Caenorhabditis elegans: one gene and its partners. The protein of the gene in region 2 interacts with the protein of the main gene of each other region in a pairwise test. Each region holds a gene or a part of one and is shown on either strand. Other genes may lie near its edges.

Region 1 (5,457 bases), 9.7 Mb from region 2:
TCAGCCCCATGGTAGCCAAAATGAAAAAAAAAAAAAAAACTTGGTGACCAATGGGCTTTAAATGCACCTTACTCGACAGAATCACGTGAGATAAACGACCAAGATTATTCTCGGTCAAAGGGAAAGAGAACACATAAGTCCCATCCTTCCGAAGAAGTTCAACGTGTATATTCTTTCCTGATGCACAGGACAATAACTTTTCAGGATGAAGAAACAAGTCTAAATTTTTTAAAACCTAGCAATAATTTTTATGGAAGAAAATAAAAACACGTATTTAACTGATGTTCTACCCACTTTTTGTTTTACCATAGTTGTTGTAATATTTTTCACAAACTGTATTACTTTCAAATTGTTTATAAAATCACCAAATTATGGAGCACGACTTATAGAAAACTTACGGCTATGAAATTTTTTTTCTTCTCAACCGAATTATCCATTGTATTATTTGTACGATTTTTCTTCCATAAAGCAGAAAACACACCAAACGGCGATTTCTTTCTGCTACCTACAGTTACTCAATAAAACTAATTTTGTTCGTGAAGAACATGCGTATGAGTTTTTGAAATTGATGTTTCTATCTAACTTTTCATTTAGAGTAAGAAAATGTTCACAAAATTTTTTACGTTGAGAAATTTATATTTCCTTTTTACATGACACTTTTTCCATTAACACCATTAAGAAATTGTATAATGACAACTGGAATTGCTCTAGAAATTTCACAAAACATTTTAAAAGTACTGAAAGTTATTTTTCATCGAAAAGCATTTGAATTTAATGAAATTTTTCAAAGGCATTAACTTTTAATGTTCATTTTCCAGTGTCACCATTTGTATTAAAAACCGTCCGCATTCATGTTTATCACCCCTGGGCAGGATCCTTCCTAGGACACGGTAGTACATAAACTAGATGGTTTGGCTTAAGATACCCAGTCCGAAAACCTATATTGACTGCTATCTCGAAAACAAGCCGCAAATTTTATTTTGCGATGCATATGAAAAATGACCACAGGACAATTCTCCATCTTTTCTATTAAGAAATTTTTGAGTTGAAAATTTCCTAACCGGTGAAATTTGTGTTCGTACGGTAGATCGCGTTGGCACTGATTTAGTTGTTGTACCACCGTGAGGAAACAAAAACCTTCGCAACCGCGCTCTATTGACACGGGAGAGTGCGACTCATTCAGCATCAGATTGCCTAAAACGTTTTTTAATTGTTTTTATCACGGTTTTTACGCTTAAAATATGTTTTGTCCGTAGAAAAACATAACTATTTTCAGTAAAATCTAATAAAAATTATTTTTAACTGAATTTCAAAAATCATCTCAAATTGCGAAATATAAAAAAAAACGACTGTTTGTTAACCGATATCGAGCAGGAAAGTTAAGTCGGCCAATTTTCTGACCCCTTTTAACAAATTGCGGTCTGCCAATAAAAATATTTAGCATTTTCATAGCAATTCATTTTTTTTCAGAATAAAAAATTCGTGGTACTTTTTCATTATAAAATTTGGTATTTTCTGGCAATTTTGAGTTTTTTTTAAACTTAAATTTAAAAATAAAGTAACTAGACTCTGATCCACATTTAATTCAATGTATTCCACTGAAAATTGTCTTTTTTTCGTTCACAATTTCATACATACATTACTCAACAATTCGTCACACTTTCTCACTTCTCTCTATCTCTCCTCCCATCTTTAAATTCCTCAGCCTCTTATTCTCAAGTTGTGTACACTGTTCCTATCAACACAAATTTCGACATTTAAACGTAGCAAGGCAACGTTTTCCAGCTTATAAACCAACCGAGGTATCAGACATTTGCTCACTTTTCTGTTCTTATCAATTTGAAAATGAGTACATTCTTTTTTAGTTAAATTTCCAATAGCACACCGTATTTCCTCTAATTGTATTCCACCCCAAAGTTCAACTTTGTCAGCTTATATCTCAGTCATTGTTTGTCCTATTTAAACATTGTCAACTGACAAAATATTTGTTAGTTTTTTTTCCATCATTTCGTAATTAATGATAAACTCATATCTTCAAAATGAACCGAGATATAACGTTTCAAAGTTAAATAGTCAGGTGCAATACTAATAGAGGAAATACGGTAATTGTCAAATTCAGTATTTTCTTGGTTAAAACTTGAGAGGTTTTATAATCAAAATGCGTACCAAAATATTTTCGTTCAATTTTTTCAATTTAAAATTAAAAAAAAATAAATCTTTGATCTTTTGAACACACTTTACTAAAAAATATATCGCATGACGTTGGACACTGCAATTTGTTTCGAAATGTGTACACACACCCCATTCTCTCCCTTCTTCAAATATAGATAAGGGAACCGATGGTTTTCATATTTCACATAAAATACTCAGCAATTTTCGTCTCTTTTCTGCTGAAAGTAACTTTCGAATTTTTTTTTCTTCTTGAGTTGACTCTTCGACTCTTGACTGTATTTCAAATTTTCCAGATTACACAAAGAAATCGAATATTTAAAAAATGTCAGACGCCGACAGCCAGAAACAAATCAAGCTCACCTCTTCTGATGATAAAACTTTCACGGTATTTTTTAAATTATAATTTCCTTTAACTAAATAATAAAATGTAAGTTTATAGGTCTCACGAAAAGTGATCAGTCAATCCAAGACCATCACAGATATTATCCAAAACCTTGGAATTGAAGAATCTGGATCCACTTCTGAAGACACGATTCCACTTCAGAAAGTGACTTCTACTATCCTTGAGAAGATTATCACCTGGTGCGAGCATCACGCCGACGATGAGCCAAAGAAAGTCGACGAAAACAAAAAGACGGTAGACATTAGTGAATGGGACGCCGAATTCATGAAAGTCGATCAGGGAACCTTGTTCGAAATTATCTTGGTAAATATTAAAGTTTTATAAGCTATTCTCCAGAATTGAACATTAAACCGATTTCTTTTTCAGGCCGCCAACTACCTCGACATCCGTGGGCTTTTGGACGTGACCACCCAGAATGTGGCTAACATGATGAAGGGTAAAACTCCAAGCCAAATCCGAACCCTCTTCAACATTGAGAACGATTTTTCCGAGGAGGAACGGGAGGCCATGAAGAAGGAAAACGCTTGGTGCGAGGATTAAGCTCCCTGGTAAACATAATTAACTTGAACTTTATCTGATTCGGTTTACATACCTCTTTTATGTCACTTAAAACAAAATCAAAAATTATTTTAAACAAAAAAAAACTTTGTCTGTCAAGTACGCTTTACATTGCTTCCAACAAAAAATATAATTTAAATAAATGTATAACGTCTGTATATTGTGTAGTTTGTTCATTGTGTATGAATTTACCATTTGCAAAAAAAAAAAACTTTGGCGGCCAAATTTGCAGCCAACTACTGTTTTGACTTGTAAAAAAACTGTTCAAAATCGTTGTAACGTTTTTGGAAGTATTTCAACTGATCGAGAAGAAAATTGTTTAAAAAATTTGGTTGCCTTGGGGGAATCTGGAGAAAAAATAGGAAAGAAATTTGGGTTTGAACATTGTTTTTGAGGAAACAGTTGCAAATTAAATGAAAATCTCTAAGCCAGGACCTATGCCAAGGCCTAAGCCTTAGCCTAAGCTTAACCGTAAGCCTAAGTCTAAGCTTAAGCTGAGCACTACTAGTGAGCAAAATGGGGGTAATGTGTGCATATAACAGCATCAGAAAAATAGTCAAAATTTAAAGAAAACTAATCACAATCTCACAAGCTTTAAGATCCAGGAGAGATTCAAGCTGTCTAGTAGAATAGGATTTAAGCTCGCCGAGGAGAAATAGAAGCCTTCCAGATTTGGACTTTGAAGACTCCAGGTGCAACTGATTGAGAAGGCCGATACAGATATCAAGTTGGCGATCGAATTTGAGATCAGTGCCATCTTTGGCTGAAATTTTAGTTTCTGAAAGCTCAGCAGCTTTTCTAGTTAAACTTACTTTCCGTGAAAATAATAATTCCCTTCAAGAGGAAATAATCCTGCGCCGAAAGTTCGAGGGATTTGAATTTCTCAGCCAGTTGTGCAAATTTTTCATCGATGAAGATTTTTTCGGAGTTTTCGAACAACGCGAGGCACAAAAGATGTGGCCACTGGGTCAGTATGATCTGGCTCTGGAAATTTTTTTAATGACTTTTATGTTTGGCATTTAGACCTTTTCAACATCGGAAAGCACTGCGAAGAGCGAAAACTGTTGCACCCACTGGAGTGCGTTTTTCAGATGAACTAGCACGGAGCTTGTGTCCTGAAATTAAATTTGTGGTGTCTCAGGTTGATAGTTTGTCTCCTGATTAACTAACAATTTCATGTTGAGCATGTTCGTGTTGGAATCTGAGACGATCAGAGTGAGTAGGCAGAAGTCCCTTGGAATACTCTCGGAATGAGGGCAACTCGACATACTCTACAGTGTAGCTATGGGAAGTTCTCTCGGGTTGCACAGCTGGAAAATAATTATTTAGAGACGAAACTGTGTCGCCTTCGCCGGCTTCAGGAGGCTTCTGCCGGCCTCAGGCCTTTGTTAATATGGTGCGGCGCGAAACTCAAAAAAATGTCGGCCACTGAAAAATACCTACCGCACTATATGGTGCAAACACAAAGTTAATGATCTGAAGCCCAAACTCAGAGAAGCAGCTTACCATTCTTATTCATCCCCTTCTTGAAGCACTTTTTAATTCGACAGGACTTGCACCTGTTCCGGTTCGCTTTATCAATCACACAGTTTCCGTCTCCATTCCAACATCCATGTACCAACTTGTTTCTAACGGTTCTTCTGAAGAACCCACTGCATCCGAAACAGGTTGGCACACCTAAAATTCATTGTTATCTAGTTTCTAAATCTTCTTTCCAACCGTAATGATTTCCGTTAGAAGTGTCCCCACAAACTGCACAAAGCGTGATTGGAAGAGTTATGTTGTTTTGCGCGGGGTCATTTACAATCTGCGGTTGGATGACCAGAGGCACTGAAAGTTATAGATATGCGTGAAAGATTGTAAATCTTCTGTCATAAAACTTTTGAACTAAGTAAATTGAGAAGCTGATAAGTGCGGTCAAGTTTTGTAAGCTTCTGGTTTTTCTACTTACCGCCCGCAAACCTCTGTCAGGTTATAACGTAACTGGGATCTAAATAATGGAAACATAGAATACATTTTTGAGATGTCAACAAGTATAGTACAAAAATTGCTATCAATCTGTTCGAAAATGTCAAAAAAATTCCAAAATCTAGAAAACAACGTTGCAAGTTTGTTTTCGACTTCTAAAAATTTTCTGATATATTTTACCAAATGCTTTCATTTATACATTTCGGTGAGTTGAGTAATTATCTAGTTAAAGCATGAAAAAATTTTTCGATCCCATAAATTGGGGCATACCTGTTGAAGTTTCCAAAATGCCACCGATTGACTTCGCATTTTGGCTGCTCATCTTTTTTTGTTAAATATTCTCTCGTTGAGTAAGT
Region 2 (6,382 bases):
GGTTTATTTTTTGAAATCATATATAAAGTTGATTTTCAGATGTCCTGAATGGAAAAACAAAAAGGAATTGATGATTTGTGATCAAAAGATTGAGCAGATTATTTTGGAAAAGTCACAAATGGAGGAGTGAGTCAATTTGTTTTTTTTAGATACCAAAACGCAGTTCAATGATAAATGTACATACCTTTTCATACCTATAGGGCACATAATTTTCTGGTTTTGTAAGTTTTTTAAATTTCTGGTTTTGAAAGTTTTGCATGCAATCCCTTTCTGAACATGTACATATGTTACTCAAAACGTATAATAAAATTTCAAAAAAACGTTCCAAATTTAAAAAAAAGAGATTTTAATTTAATTGCAGATTATCCCAAATCCGACTAATTGACCTGTCTAAAAATCGACTGTCAAGCGTTCGTGAAATCAGTTCCTTCAACATCACCCATCTTATTCTCAATAACAATTGCCTGAAATCGATTGCAGTAAACGATGGCCAAACATCATTGCAGCCATTTCCTTATTTAGAAAACCTAGATATTTCGAATAACTCAATAAGCAATACATCTATTCTGAGACTTGGAATCCCACTTTTATTGAAACTTAAAAACATTAATTTGTCGCAAAATGCATTGTCAAGGTTGATAGTTATTGTAAATCTAGTCACACTTGAATATTTTCAGATTTGATTGTTCTCTATTTGATCTTCCGAATTTGGAATCAGTTGATTTGAGTAACAACTCGATAAAAACAATTATCAGACGCCCATTGAAAACTTTAACTTCCTTGAATCTTCAAAATAACAAATTGACAACTCTAACTCCATTGTCATGCCCTAATCTAGTGTCATTAGATATTTCAAACAATAAGTGAGTTTTTGATAGGTGCCTAACTTTACGATTTTTAGCAAGTTCTATACTCTTTAGCTATTAAAGTTTCAAATTTGTAGACTTGCGTCTTGTGCATCTTTGAAGCCTCTCTGCGAATGCAAGACTCTGGAAAATTTGGACTGTAGGAACAATTCAGTAACGGAGAGAAGGGTTTATGTTGATTTTATCAAAGCACAGGTTCCATCTGTTAGAAAACTAGATGACGAGATTATGAGCAATGAAATTGAAATTACGAAACGAAGATTGTCTCGAGCAAATGATTTGATCTCGATGAGCAGAAGAAGCAGGTACTTACAATTAGGAATATCTGATATTATGACTCTTTTTACACTACACAATTTCAGTATGGTGACCTCGTCGATGCTATCTTGGTTCGAGAGAGAAGAGGGTGAAACTCTGGAAAACGTGAAAAGGGCTTCAAGTTTTCTAGAACCAAGTGCAGCTGAAACCCCCATGAGACCACGACGGCTTGAACCTCTTCCCGGAAGACGTAAAACTAATAGTGAAAGCAATGGATTAATGTTGTTAGGTACAAAGTAAGTGATTTTATATATTAGTTGAGAGATTATGAAATGTTTCTAAATTCGTTTTTGTTCATTTTCAGAGCTGTGCAACATCGCAAGTAAAAGGCCCAATTATGTGGAGAGTCTGTCGAATATATTTTTTTCTAAACTATTATTATCATTTTTCAACTAAATATAAATACTATCTGAATAAGTCTCATGATAGGTATTCAAAAGTTAGTAGTGCCTACCTTACAATAAGAGTAACTACGGTAGTTGTCTGAGTCTATTTTGGTCAGTGTTCTTCAAAATGTAGAATTTTGGAAACATCATTTGAAATTTCGATTTGATCTTACAATCAGTTCAATATAATACCACTTTTGGGGTTTTCACAGGAATTCTGCAGACAGTTTTATTGGGAACTAGTTCAGAGCAGAGGTGGGCGGATATTTTTTCGGATATTTTCTAATAATGAATTTATCAATAAGTATTGATGTAGTTATTCTGGAAAAAATGTATCCGAACAAAAGAGTAACTATTAAGAAACATTTTAATATGATAAAACCTAGAAAAATTCTACAAGTTTTCTGTATAAACGATATGCAAGTCCATTATCCGATATCCGTAATATCCGTAATATCCGATATCCGATGTTGCTCGGCTAATAAGTTTTAAGGTCTCGGTAAGGAAAACTTGTAGAATTTTTCTAGGTTTTATCATATTAAAATGTTGCTTAATAGTTACTCTTTGGTTCGGATACATTTCTTCCAGAATAACTACATCAATACTAATTGATAAATTCATTATTAGAAAATATCCGAAAAAATATCCGCCCACCTCTGGTTCAGAGTAAAAATCCATTGTTAACCATAGGAAATGCACTGGATTCTATACTGAATTTTCAGATGAAAATTTTCAGACTCACCGTGTGTTTAGCAGGAATGATTTACAGATTCTAAAAGCCCAATTTGTCAGAAGATATAACATGTTCAACTTATTTCTTATCATACCACACGGTTACATAATTCCCTAGTAGGCTATAAGGTAATGCAGGTTTCACCCCACTTTATTTATTTCGGCATTATCACTTTTTTTTTCAATAAATATCACTTTTTAATTTCACGTTTTTAAAAAAATAGTGAAATAATTAAAACATTTTAGAAAGCCAAATTTTAAGTGAGCGTGAAACGAAAAAAAAAACCGCCCATGAAATTTCAAATTTATTTATTTCTTGATACTTCGCCAGCTCTACGAAGTTTTTCCAAATCGTCAAAATGTCCGATTCACCAAGAAGCGACGAAGAGGATCTCAGTGAAGGTTCGGACAGCTCAGTATCACTGCATCAGTAAATTTTTCACTATATTATGCTACGTGGATCTCTTTTATTGAATTGTAATTTCAAACAACTGCCAACGTAGCAAAAACTAAACTGTATGCTGTTATGAAAAGTTTTATTCAAATTTTAGAATCGATCCCAAAATTCAATGTATCGTCACGGACCCACGTGCAGTGCGAATCTTGATTCTACATCAACATCTTCAAGGCATTCCAGTTTTCAATGCATATAAAGCAATGAACAAGGTATTTGGAGATCACTTTATGGAATACCGACACTTTGAATATTGGTATATGGGACTTGCAAATGGGAGTTTAACCGTAGACTCTTATGATAGGTTTGTGTTTTTTCAATGAACATAATATCACAGTACCTTTTATAGATTTCATACATCAGAGAGAAAAGAGTTCACCGACTTTTCAACCTACTTCCAAGCAATGATTCTGGATAAACTGAATCCAATTGATCGGTAAGAATTGATTGTATTTTTGTTTTGTAAATACAAAATCTTCAGGTTTGCTGCACGCGCAGTTTGCCGTGGTTTTAAGTCTATGATCGATTATCAACATTCTAACCTGAAAACGATGACTATGTATCTAGAAGAGAAAAGCGTTGGATTGAAGACAAACGGTGGCTACGTGACCTATGAATTGGAGGATGAGGACTGTCAAGTGAACTATAAGAAACGGAAAATGATTGTTAAGGATAAGAAACCATTGGAGGTTGCTATGAAGGATGTATCAAGACTTTTGAAGATCAGAGGATTAGATATGGATTACTTCGCAATTATTATGACGGAAATTATGGAAGAAGAGTTCGTTTCATTTGATGCTATTAACGACGTTCTTAAATCAATTGGAATCCTGTCGGCAAAATCAGTATTGCTCGATTGGTTTCACACTTTTGAAATTACTGTACTTCTGAAATACTTTAAGCCTGGAATCCTGGAGGACTTAACAATTAAATGTCTTGAATCCGATGAAGAGTTCACAGGAAATCTGGTGTACCTGGAACAGTGGAAAAAGGCAAAGAATCTGAAATTGTCTAAAGTCCCAAATTTTCCAATTATCGTCGAACATCTCGATAACTTCAAATCTTTGAACTTCGACTTCCATGGGGAACCTTTCTCAAGAGATGATATCATGAAGCTTCGAGATGTGAGTTTCCTTTCATATATCAATTTTCCCAAATAAACTTTCAGGAGGTTCTTCTAAAATCAACCAAGTTTGAATACTTTTCTTGTAAAAATGTGAAATTCAACACAAAAATGTTCGTGAAAGTTTTTGATGCTCGCTCAACTCTATTTTGTTCGTCTGGCTCAATTGTTTATGAATCGTCCAATGGAATATTCGATATTGCTTATCATCCGAATGGGTTCAACATTAAGAAGAAAATTGACTCGCAAGTTTGAACTCGTGAATATTAGGATAATAAATTATTTATCATTTATCAAACTATTTCAGTGTCGAAATATACCACATTTTCAAAAATAATGGAATTGAATTAAAAATATAATCATACCGTATCCATTCAAAACTTCCTGAGCGTTGCGAGACCTGTCCACAAAAGAACACCTCCCTCCAAATTTGGCTACTGTCTTGCTTCATTTTTCATACTGTTTTTTTGTTTCTTTTTCGTTCTTTTTCAGCCTTGGTCTGTTTTTTCCTTTTCACCTCCTTATTCTCTCTTTTTCATACACAAATAGCAAGAGAATAAGATGATAGAAGAGACGCAGAGTGCGAAAGGACGGAGCCTCGTTGCCCGCCGAACACTGAGGTTTATTGACTTTTCTACTGCTTTTCGAGCTGCTTTCGCGGAAAAAAAGATTGAGCTTTCTTTCGAGAGCTTTCGACTGTGCTTCTCGACTAAAAATATCGAAATACAACTTTTAGTTTGTCTTGCTAGCCTATCTTTTTGAAAATAATTTGTCAGGAAGCTGAATTGGGAAGAAAACGGAATAGTTAAAAATTTTACCTGTGATTTGTGCGATTATACGCATTTTTAACCATGTGTCTCGATAATTTCAATTATAACATTTTCCTCTGTCTCTTTCTATTTCGTTATCTTTTTTTTCTCATTTACAGTTGTTTCTTATTACAGAATAATCTCTCTCCAACAGAATGACGATATGAAAGTAATAAAAGGCGTCACGTTCATCGTTCTCGTCTTCTTCTCCTCACTTCTCGGAACTGTTTTTCTTCTTTTTCCGCTTATTCCTCTCGCATGGTTTGCGCCGAAATTATGGAGAACATGCGCCGATCGTCTTGTTGGATTCTGGTTAACTTTTCCATGTGTAAGTTGTTATTTGTGGTTAATTTTCTAAAAAAAAACTGTAAACTATAAAGAAAATATTTTCAGTCCCTCATCGAATGGGTATTTGGAGTGAATTTCCGAGTAACCGGTGATCTGATCGAACGAGATGAGCCAGCAATTTTGATAATGAACCACCGGACCCGACTTGATTGGTTATTCTCGTGGAATGCTCTTTACAAAATGGATCCATGGCTTCTCACCACAGAAAAAATATCTCTGAAAGCTCCTCTCAAAAAGATTCCCGGCGCCGGTTGGGCTATGAGCAGTGGATCTTACATATTCTTGGATCGAAACTTTGAAAATGATAAACCAGTTCTGGAAAGGATCGTAAAGTATTACTCGGGCTCAGAAAAGAAATATCAGATTCTTCTTTTCGCCGAGGGAACTGACAAAGGAGAGCGAGCAACTCGTTTGAGCGACGCTTTTGCCGATAAAAATGGATTACCGAGATATGAGTATGTATTGCACCCGCGAACGACGGGATTCAAATTTTTGATGGAATTGATGAAAAAAGGTGAGAGAGAGAATTTCAATTTTTGAATGCGACTAGCGACGAACCAGGGGATTTTGCAGAGAATTATATAAAATACGTTTATGATCTCACAATTGCGTACAGTGGAACTATAGTCGACACAGAAGCAAAACTTTTGGCTGGCAATTTTCCAGATGTAAGTTTTTATTGTAAAAATATTTAAAATTTTCTACATTTATTAAATTGTCATAATTCAAAATTTAAATTACAAAAACCCCAAAAATAATAATTTTAACAAAAAATTGTTTTTCAGAAAGTTCACTTAGATGTTAAAAAGTACAAGCTAGACGAAATTCCAACAGGAGAAGGGTGCGAGAAATGGCTCACCGATTTATGGGCAACAAAGGAGAAGCGACTGAAAAAGTTTTACGAGCAGGAAGAGCGACTAGAAGCAAGTGGTGATAGATTCGAGTGGCCGGTTGGTTTTTTTGTTGCGAAATTCAATGATTAATCCAACATGACATTTCCTACTACAGGAGACAACTACTGGTATCGGATACTACGTGGCGTTTGCCTTTTGGGTTCTCGCATCGCTTATTTGGATGGGTGCCATCTATTCGCTGCTATGGGTCAAGGTAATTAACCGGTTTTATGGCGATTGTTATTCGTTCGCATGATATTAGATATCGTGTTCCCTTTTGTTAAACTTTTTTTATTAATCTGCAGGTTTTTTGTCAAAAAATGACAAAAATCAGTATTTATATGCCAAATACACCTGAAAAAAAAAATTAAAATTGAAAGAATTTTTTTTTCTAATTTTGCAACAAAAAAAACACTGAATTTTCTGATTTTTCCGGCTAGATTAATAGGTTTT
Region 3 (8,824 bases), on a different chromosome or scaffold from region 2:
CAAAAAAATTTTCTTGTAAAAAATTCAAATTTATCAATTTTCGGACTTTCTGTGAGAAACTAAATTTAAAAATATAATATGATGGTTTTTATAAAAGTCTAGAGCTAAATTAAAGAAAATTTCTAGATTTAATACAAAAAAAAAATTTTTTGAGGATTTTAGTGAGAATTTTTATTTCAAAATTTCTCCTCACATTCGCCGCGCCGGGAATCGTCGGTCCACCAGTGCCAGGTATCATTTTCTGACTGTAAACTTCTGGATAGACCGCAGACGACGTGGAAGGTTCTGCAACCTCCGATGATGACGTGGATTGATGGTAGTATGGATCATCATCGTCGTCATCGTGATTCATATCATCCACACGTGGATTTCTGAGGATAAAATAATTAATTAAAAATTAATTTTTAAAACAAATATTCAAGAAAATTCGAAAAACAAAAAGCCAAAAAAAATATAACATTAAAATATATTTATAGGACTGCTGAATATCTAGGCAAAGCCAAAATTCAATTCAGAGAGCAAATCTCCACGTCATCAGGTGCTCAATGCCTACTCACACATATACACGAACAGGTGATCAAGAGAGAGAGAGAAAAATTTAATCCGCTCACTGATTTCCTGTTTTCTATGGAATTTTCAATTTGGTGCAGCTTTGGCGGGGAAAGGAGAGGCATGAAATATTGACTTTTTATGTGTAAAGTTTTGAGATTTTATGCTCAAATAGAGCTAAACTCTCAAAAAAAGTGATTTTTCAGTTGGAAAATTGCATTAAAAACTAATTTTTAAACATTTTTTGGCCTAGGAGACTTAAAAATCTGAAAAATTCATTTGAAAATCCATATTCACCATTATTTCGGCTGAAAAATATATATTACAGCGAACGCCTTGAGCTTGGAAAAATATCGGAAAATGCACGTTATCAATGGAGCGCGCTTGCCCACTGCCACTTTTTTATGGATTTTCCCCAGTTGTCATGAGAATTTTCATATTTTCGGGGTATTTGATAAACAAAATACGTATTTTCTGAAAATAAAAGCTAATTATAAACTCTCGAGAGACCCCGAGTGTAAGGTGCAATTATCGGGATGGAAAATTGAGGGATTTCCTCTCTTCCCAGTGCGAACAGCAAGAAAATTATTATTTTCCGCAAGAAATAGAATTTCGTATTAAATATTTACAACTGAATGCTCTTTTCATGGTTTATTGAGCTTTTTAATTGGATTTCTGGAGAAAATTGGTTGCCAAATATTTAGCAGACCCAACTTTGGTCTGCTAAATAATTTTTCTTGGGTCTGCTAAATATTTAGCAGACCCAATTTGGCTTGCCACGTGGCAAATATCGATTTTTTTCTATTACAATTTTTGTAAAAGAAAGTAGATAAACGCTGAAAAAAACACGCTAAAAAAAGGAATTTTCAAATCGGAAACTCAGGAATAAACTTCAATTTTTATTCTAATTAATCGTCAATATTCAAATTCGACGAAAATTTTCAGATTACCAAATATTTGGAAATTTGGAGAGGATTTTGTGTGGGAGAGGGATGGGGATAGAGTATAAGAATTTCGAGACGCAGGGTGAATATTTTCTTTAAAACAAGAAATGGGGGAAAAAAAGGATAATGTAAAAATAACATGGATTTTCAGGTAGTTCTAGATGGGGGTGGGTTTAAGGCAGATTTCACGGTAGCGCAGGGTTTGTTCGGATATTTGAGAGGAGGTTCTTGAGAATGAGAATATCTGGAAATTATTGGTAATGGGGGTTTCAGAAAAATGAAACAAAAAATTGGGTCACAGTGAAAATTAGAAATGGAAAGTTGAATAAAACGTTAAAAAATTAACAATTAAGAGGAAGAAAACTTATTTTTTGGGGCTTTTTTTGCAAACTTTTTTCAATTTTTAGTGGTTTTTTTTGTTGAATTTTTTGATTAAAAAAAGATAAAAAACTACGCGATTTTCAGTAAATAATACAGATGCAATTTTCAGAGGAAAGAAAAACAATGGACAAAGAAGAAGAAAAAAGAACAGAAAGAGAAGATTTGAAAAAAAAAGAACAGGAATTATTATATTATTAGGTTCTATAAGGATTGTTCAATATTTGTTGAGACTGTCCCTGCTGCTGCTGCTGGCCTTGTTGCTGTTGTCCCTGATTTTGGATAATCATGCCAGAAGTGTAGATGTTCTGAGGAATCGATTGGGACGACTGCTGAAAATCCTAAAGTTTGATTAGTTGGATGATTCTAGAATTGGGGAGATTTGAGTAAAAATCAATTTTTTTTTTGAAATTTGGGTCTGCTAAATATTTAGCATACCAACTTTGGGTCTGCTAAATATTTAGCAGACCAACTTTGGGTCTGCTAAATATTTAGCATACCCACTTTGGGTCTGCTAAATATTTAGCATACCCACTTTGGGTCTGCTAAATATTTAGCATACCCACTTTGGGTCTGCTAAATATTTAGCATACCAACTTCGGGCCTGCTAAATATTTAGCATACCAACTTTGGGTCTGCTAAATAGTTAGCATACCCAACCTCGAGTTTTATAGCAAAATTCCGCTCAAAAACTCATTTTTTCCTAGTTTTCATCGATATTCACCTGGTGTGACACCTGAATCTGCTGCTGTTGCATGTGTCCTTGATGGAGCACCTGGTGCTGTCCAATCCCATTGTTTCCCTGATTTCCAACCAACTGTTGGTGCTGTTGCTGACCATTCGAGATTATATAGGCCTGTGGCGGTGGTGTAACCGAGCGTGGCGTTCCCGACGACTGATTCGCGCGTTGTCGGAGAAGGATCTGCTGAGCGTGCTGTGTGCGCTTGACGACGTCACGTTCCAACGAGGAGAGAGCGTCCATATCGTCCTTTTTGGCGGGGGTGCCGGTGCCCATTGTGATGGTTCCAGAGGATCCGACGGCCATCTGTCCGGCGCTGATCATGTCGTCCATCTCGTTGCGACGACGCTTTGGAGTGTAGCGTTTTTGATTGTACGACTGAAAAATTAAAAATTAAAATGTTTTTTTTTTTTTTGAAATTTTGTTTTTCGAAAACACACATGCGCAAAGCCTACACACAACAAGCATTCTCATTCTCAATTTCAGTATCCAAAATTCAAAAAAAAGAAGAAGAAAAATAAAAGAAAAAAGGTTTCACTAACGTCTCCGAGATCGAGATCATGGTCGATTTGCGTGTCAGATTGCTCATGAGAGGGCCAAGACTCTTCTTTCGGTTCTTGTTTCGCGACCTACAACAAAATTTAGGAGTCTGAGATCTCGGAGAGTTGGGGAAGAAACCCGGGGTTTTTTTTTGGATTCGCTAGCGCAAATTTTCAAATTTTTCGTGCTCAAAAATAACTAAAAGTCATCGCAAGACCCTCTCTGTCTCTCGTTGGTGATTGATTAGTTGTAGCAAAAATATATTCACCTTTCTCTGATCAGGCGTCATTCGCTGGTAGCGAAGACGTGCCGCTTCGGCTCGTTTCGCGTTTCGGACCACAATCTGCTGAGCACGATCCAGTGCTTCTCCGTTGATACGGCCTATAGGCATGGCGAGCAGCATCTCTTCTTCCATACGACGGCGGCGGAACGCTTCTGTCCTTCGTTGATTGTAGACGCGCTTCTCGTCATCGTTCATTCGATGGTATCTGGAAATTTGGAGGTTTTTTGATCGAAAATGTGTGGAAACTCAGGTGAATTTCGCAATTGTTGGGTCTGCTAAATATTTAGCAGACCAAAGATGGGTATGCTAAATATTTAGCAGACCCAAATAAATATTTAGCAGACCAAAGTTGGGTATGCTAAATATTTAGCAGACCCATTCTGAATATTTAGCAGACCCAAGTTTGGTATGGTAAATATTTAGCAGACCCAAGCTATTCTGATTCCCCCGAATCTCTTCCTTACCGTTGACGAGCCGCCTCCGCTTTTTTCGCATTCTGCGTCTTGATGTGCAACCGGACAGCCTCGTCGTCCTTCTGTGGATCTCCTGTAGCCATTCCACATGCCTGAAACTCCGATTTCTGGAATGTTACGTCACGGTAGCAGCGGAAAAATTACAAATTTTGTGTGTTAGGGAGGAGAGATTTTACCAAAAATAGATTTTCACCCAATTAAATTTTCCTCTTCTCCGCTAATTTTCCAGATTTTCTGCTAGAATTCAATGTTCTATATTCACCTTAATCGCGCTCATCGCGTTCTGCATCTGCCGCATACGTCTCCGCGTATTGTGCGCCCGGCGCTCTTCCGGCGTCATTCTAGCGTAACGTGTACGGGCGGCCTCTGCCCACTTGGCCCGCATTCTCTTCTCTCTGAGCTGTTCGGTGATGTCCGGATCCTCTTGAATGTCATTTGTCTCCCGCAAAATCGATTCGAGCTCCTCCATCTCCTTCTCACGTTGCCGTTTTCGCTTCTGCGCCAACGTTCTTTTCAGGTTTAACTCTCGTTTCTCTTCGTTTGATAGTCGGTGATAACGCATTCGGGCGGCTTCTGCCTGTCGCGCCTTCTTTACTCGATCCTTCTCGCCTTTGTCGGGTGACGAGGAGAGTTTAACATTCATTCCTTCTACTTGTAGGTCCTGAAATGTTTCTGAGGTGTGCTCGGTGAGTTCGCTGCGTGATTTCATTCAATTCGTGTTTTCAGTGTGTTGAAACTTAAAATTCGCATTAAAACTCGAGAAATGGACAAATTCTGCTCGATTTCGCATCTTGGGTCTGCTAAATATTTAGCATACCCAACTTGGGCCTGCTAAATATTTAGCATACCCACCTTTGGTCTGCTAATTATTTAGCAGACCATAGTTGCAAAACTAAGCAAGTTCCAGTAACTTATCGACTTTTTGAGCAAATTTTTTGAAAAATCCGCTCAAATGCGAAAATCCACGCGGATTTCGAGCTGCAAAATTCAAAATTCCTTGAAAAAATCACTGAATAACACGAAATTCTCCCCAAAAAAAAACAAAGAAAAAACAACGAATTTACCACATCTCCTACTTTCAACTGAGGTATTTGTTGATTGTATGATCCAACTGATTGTTGTATTGAAGACATCTATAAAATAAATCACGATTCACAAACACAACCACAATTACGATAGAATTTACGGTAAAAAATGAGGAAAATCGAGATTTTTCGAGATTTCCGCCATTTTTTTAAGCCAAATCGCACGATTTTTACGATTTTTACCTGAACTGGCTGCTGATTATTCCACGACGTTGATGTTGAAGGTGTCGTACTGTCGATAAAATAAGCGTCAAGCATATTAACTAAACTCTTCTCTTCTCCCATCCGCCGCTGAGGTGTTTGCTGAAATTAAATAAAATTGAACATTTTCACTCGATTTCCTGAAAATCCCCTACCGTCACTGAATTAGGTATAAAAGTTGCGGAATTAGAGGAATGAAAATTGTTCGCATTTGAATTTGAATACGTCGTCGGCTGATAGGAGTTCTGTTGAAATTGCGATATTCCGTGTAGCTGCTGATTTTGATTACCGCCCGAGCGGGGATCCGAACTGTATGTGTATTGTATATTCTGCTGCATTTTTTATTATTTTTTGTGTTTCCGAGCCTGAAAAAATTGGAATTTTAGGTTTTTAAGCTAGTTTCCGATGAGAATTGCGATTTAATAAGGATATAATTGTGCTGGAAACAATTTTAATCACTTGAAAAATTAATTTTTTGAAGAAAAACCAAGGAAAACCAGGAAAACCAAAGAAAAATAAGAAATTAAATGGAGAAAGTGAGAAAAATAGAGAAGCAGATAAGTTTCGAATTCAAATTTGCCGGAGTGTCACTGGAGCGCACTTGCCTCCTTCTCAATTTTTCGAATTTCATAAGACTAGAATAATGAAAACACTGCTTAAAATGACTGGAACAAAAGAAGAATACATGAATTTTGATTGAAAAATTGAAAAATAAAATTGAAAACAACGTATCTCACTGCAAAAGCTTAAAAAATTCTTATTATAGTCCCAGCATGTACTAATTTCGACGGAATTGCGCCAAATTTTCACTGATCCACGTGGAATTTTCTGAATTTTACTGAAAATGCAAAAATCTTAGTTTCTTTTCGTGTTGGAGCTGTGTGCACAGGTGCCCAGGTGCACTGCTTGAACATGGTGGCCGTGAAAGAGAAAACTCGGTCAGTCCCTCTAAATCCTGCGGAAAAGGTCCTGCTGATCCACTTTTAAGCTAGTTTCAGCAAATCCAGAGGTATTTTGGGTTCCAGAGGCAGAGTTAGCATTCTAGAAGAGCAATGAATTTTGGTGGCCGACCTTTTATATCCGCGGTCCCCACGAAAAAGTCTCAGAGTGTCTCATTTCGGTTTGATCTGCGTAGATCTACAAAAAATGCCGGAGTTGAGGCGCAGAGTTCTCAACTGATTTTGCATGGTTAAGAACTTGCTGACGTCACATTTTTATGGGCCAAAAATTTCCGCATTTTTTTGTAGATCAAACCATAGTAGGACAGCCTGACACCACGAGGGCCCCGTATCCAAGTACCTGAGCCTAAAGCCTAATGTAATGGTTCTAATACCGTCTTCCAATTCCTATCGCTGTGGGTTCTCTGAAAATCCCTCCGAATTTTCCCATTTCACGGCCAAGGCATCAAATCCAACCTGTACCTCTCCGTTTCAAGTCGATTTTTAGAATTCAAATTTGTCCTCTTCGCGCCTAAACCGCCCATGCTCTTCCCATCATCACTGTTAACCACACTATTTTGTTGCCTGCCTGCCTTCTGTCTCTGCGCTCCCAAAATCAGCGGAAAAGAGTGTGTGATGGCGGATGGATGCGGTTGGGGATGGTAAGAAGAAGAAGAAGTGTAGGGAGATGAAGGGAACAAGACGGGGGGCAAAAAGTAGTAGTAGTAGAAGAGGAAGAAGACTAAGAGAAAACGAAACATATACACAAAAGAAGAGGACGATTTGGGGCGCATAGGACGAGAGGGAGGAGAGATTGGAGACGGGCGGGGCATTGTGTACGAGGGGAGGCCGACCGCGACGCGGAGACGCGTTGCACACTCGCATACACAATGCGCGCTGCGGAGAGTCCAAACATCACTAGACACTGTGCCGAGTGGCGGAGATCACGAGACACCCGGCACGAGAGAGCGCGCCCGTCGTGGAGTGTGTGTGCTTAGAGGCCGTGACGACAGCGTATCGATTGTGGAGAGTGCGTGGAGGAGTGCCGAATGAATGGGTAACGTGATGCGGAGAGAAAGATGGGGAGAGATGGATCGGAGGGTGCGGCAGACTCGAAAACAAGAGAGGCGAATGACGGCCGACAATAACTCTCAGGCACTCTCAGTGAGGAAAGAAGAAGGAGAAGAAGCACAGGAGATAGTATAAGGAGAGGAAGAGGAGCAGAACTTGGCTTCTACCGTATTCAGAGGCTATGATATCAGGCCTCTTGGGTCTGTTAAAATAGAGAACCCAGGCCTTAGAAAAGCTTGAAAGTTGTTGGGGCTCTCCAGTAGTCCTGGATATACCATGTGGAATCAGACTAGAATGGAGCTCAGGCTATCCTTGAGGCACTAGGAACTTCTGGAAATTCTGAACACTGAGAATTTTGCCTAGGCTTCTACCGTATTCAGATGCCATGAAATTAGACCTCTATCAGACCTCTAATTGGGCTTTGGTCTGTTAAATAGGGGCCTATCGGGGAACCCAGGCCTTAGAAAAGCTTGAAAGTTGTTGTAACTACCGGGGTATTCTTGGATATTCCAAGTGGAATCAGACTATAATGGAGCTTAGATTATTTTTTATTTTGCGTCTCTGAAATAGATAGCTCAACCTGTAAAGAATTCGCTGAAAGTCAAAAAGTTCCCACGAAGCCACTCGAAATTTCGCCAGGCCCCTGAAAATCGTTTTCTCGGTGAACAAGATCTAGGACTCTTGCCTATCCTCTCTGCAATTGGCTCTAACCTCTTGCCAAAGTTCGGCCCAAAAATATTAGCTTGGATCAAAAGATGCCTAAACTTGGGCAAACGTTAGGCAAGACTTTGTCAAAAATTTGGATTCAGGCTTTACCAAAGTTTCACCCAACTCTTGCCTAACTTTGGTCCAAGTTTGAAACAAAACAAGAAAAGTTTGGGCCAAAGATAGGCAAGAGTTCGGTGAAATTCGGGTCAAACTTTGGCCTGAATCCAATTTTGACAAAGTCTTGCCTGACTTTTGCCCAAGCTTAGGCATCTTTTGATCCAAGTTAATATTTTTGGGCTAAACTTGGGCATGAAGCCAGAACCAAATACCGAGCTGTGAAAGTCCTTTTGGAATTTTCCTAGTAAGTACTTACTAACTTTGTATAAAGTTTTTTTACTTTAAAAAAACGAAACCTCGTGTATTTTTTCTAGCACTTAAGTTTATTAGCTTGCACTTGTGTAAATTTTGTTCCAGGTCAATTTTCGCTGTGCAGCCGTGAATAGAGAAAACTCGGCCACTGATGAAATCAGATAGGCAAGTTTCAAAAACTAGGCCACGACGAAATTATTTCAAAGTCACAAGGTTAGGTTTCCCGGCTGAAATTATTCCAGATGCACCAACTCCCTAGATCACGTGGTGCCAGGCTGCCCCATTACGGCTTGGTCTACAAAAAATGCGGGAATTTTCCTCAGGAAAATGTGACTTAAGCACGCTCTAAACCATGCAAAATTGAGAGTTGAGCGCTCTGCGTGTGTCTGCTCCCGCATTTTTGTAGATCTACGTAGATCAAGCCAAAATGAAACACTCTGACACCACGTGTATTTAGGTTCTACCGTAGACGATGATTTGAGCTTTTATTTTACTATTTCTGCAGGTTCTGAGCCAAGAAATCAAGAACCTACAGCTCTGGTTAAC

The links.
Region 1: the proteins of fbxa-196 (region 2) and skr-3 interact in a two-hybrid assay, tested with the Caenorhabditis elegans proteins (one study listed by BioGRID).
Region 3: the proteins of fbxa-196 (region 2) and gei-4 interact in a two-hybrid assay, tested with the Caenorhabditis elegans proteins (2 studies listed by BioGRID).

The regions. Positions count from the first base shown.
Region 1 is NC_003283.11:16,119,359-16,124,815, forward strand, and holds skr-3 (Skp1-related protein), read left to right. Parts: upstream 1-2,465; 5' UTR 2,466-2,494; coding exon 2,495-2,557; intron 2,558-2,611; coding exon 2,612-2,878; intron 2,879-2,941; coding exon 2,942-3,115; 3' UTR 3,116-3,290; downstream 3,291-5,457. Other genes in the region: Nuclear hormone receptor family member nhr-111, read right to left, coding at 3,697-3,896, 3,946-4,117, 4,159-4,248, 4,304-4,443, 4,640-4,810, 4,853-4,963, 5,372-5,423.
Region 2 is NC_003283.11:6,446,047-6,452,428, forward strand, and holds fbxa-196 (F-box domain-containing protein), read left to right. Parts: upstream 1-2,609; 5' UTR 2,610-2,661; coding exon 2,662-2,732; intron 2,733-2,853; coding exon 2,854-3,060; intron 3,061-3,105; coding exon 3,106-3,192; intron 3,193-3,237; coding exon 3,238-3,880; intron 3,881-3,924; coding exon 3,925-4,134; 3' UTR 4,135-4,171; downstream 4,172-6,382. Other genes in the region: T05H4.3 (U2A'/phosphoprotein 32 family A C-terminal domain-containing protein), read left to right, coding at 40-126, 362-634, 678-863, 944-1,171, 1,229-1,420, 1,489-1,510; acl-8 (Phospholipid/glycerol acyltransferase domain-containing protein), read left to right, coding at 4,852-5,016, 5,082-5,550, 5,610-5,704, 5,822-5,986, 6,045-6,143.
Region 3 is NC_003281.10:342,871-351,694, forward strand, and holds gei-4 (BZIP domain-containing protein), read right to left. Parts: upstream 5,558-8,824; 5' UTR 5,531-5,557; coding exon 5,348-5,530; intron 5,295-5,347; coding exon 5,175-5,294; intron 5,040-5,174; coding exon 4,971-5,039; coding exon of another isoform or gene 4,818-4,970; intron 4,568-4,817; coding exon 4,169-4,567; intron 4,014-4,168; coding exon of another isoform or gene 3,999-4,013; coding exon 3,898-3,998; intron 3,639-3,897; coding exon 3,419-3,638; intron 3,240-3,418; coding exon 3,153-3,239; intron 2,989-3,152; coding exon 2,596-2,988; intron 2,213-2,595; coding exon of another isoform or gene 2,204-2,212; coding exon 2,069-2,203; 3' UTR 1,436-2,068; downstream 1-1,435. Other genes in the region: Y50D7A.8 (PDZ domain-containing protein), read right to left, coding at 194-352.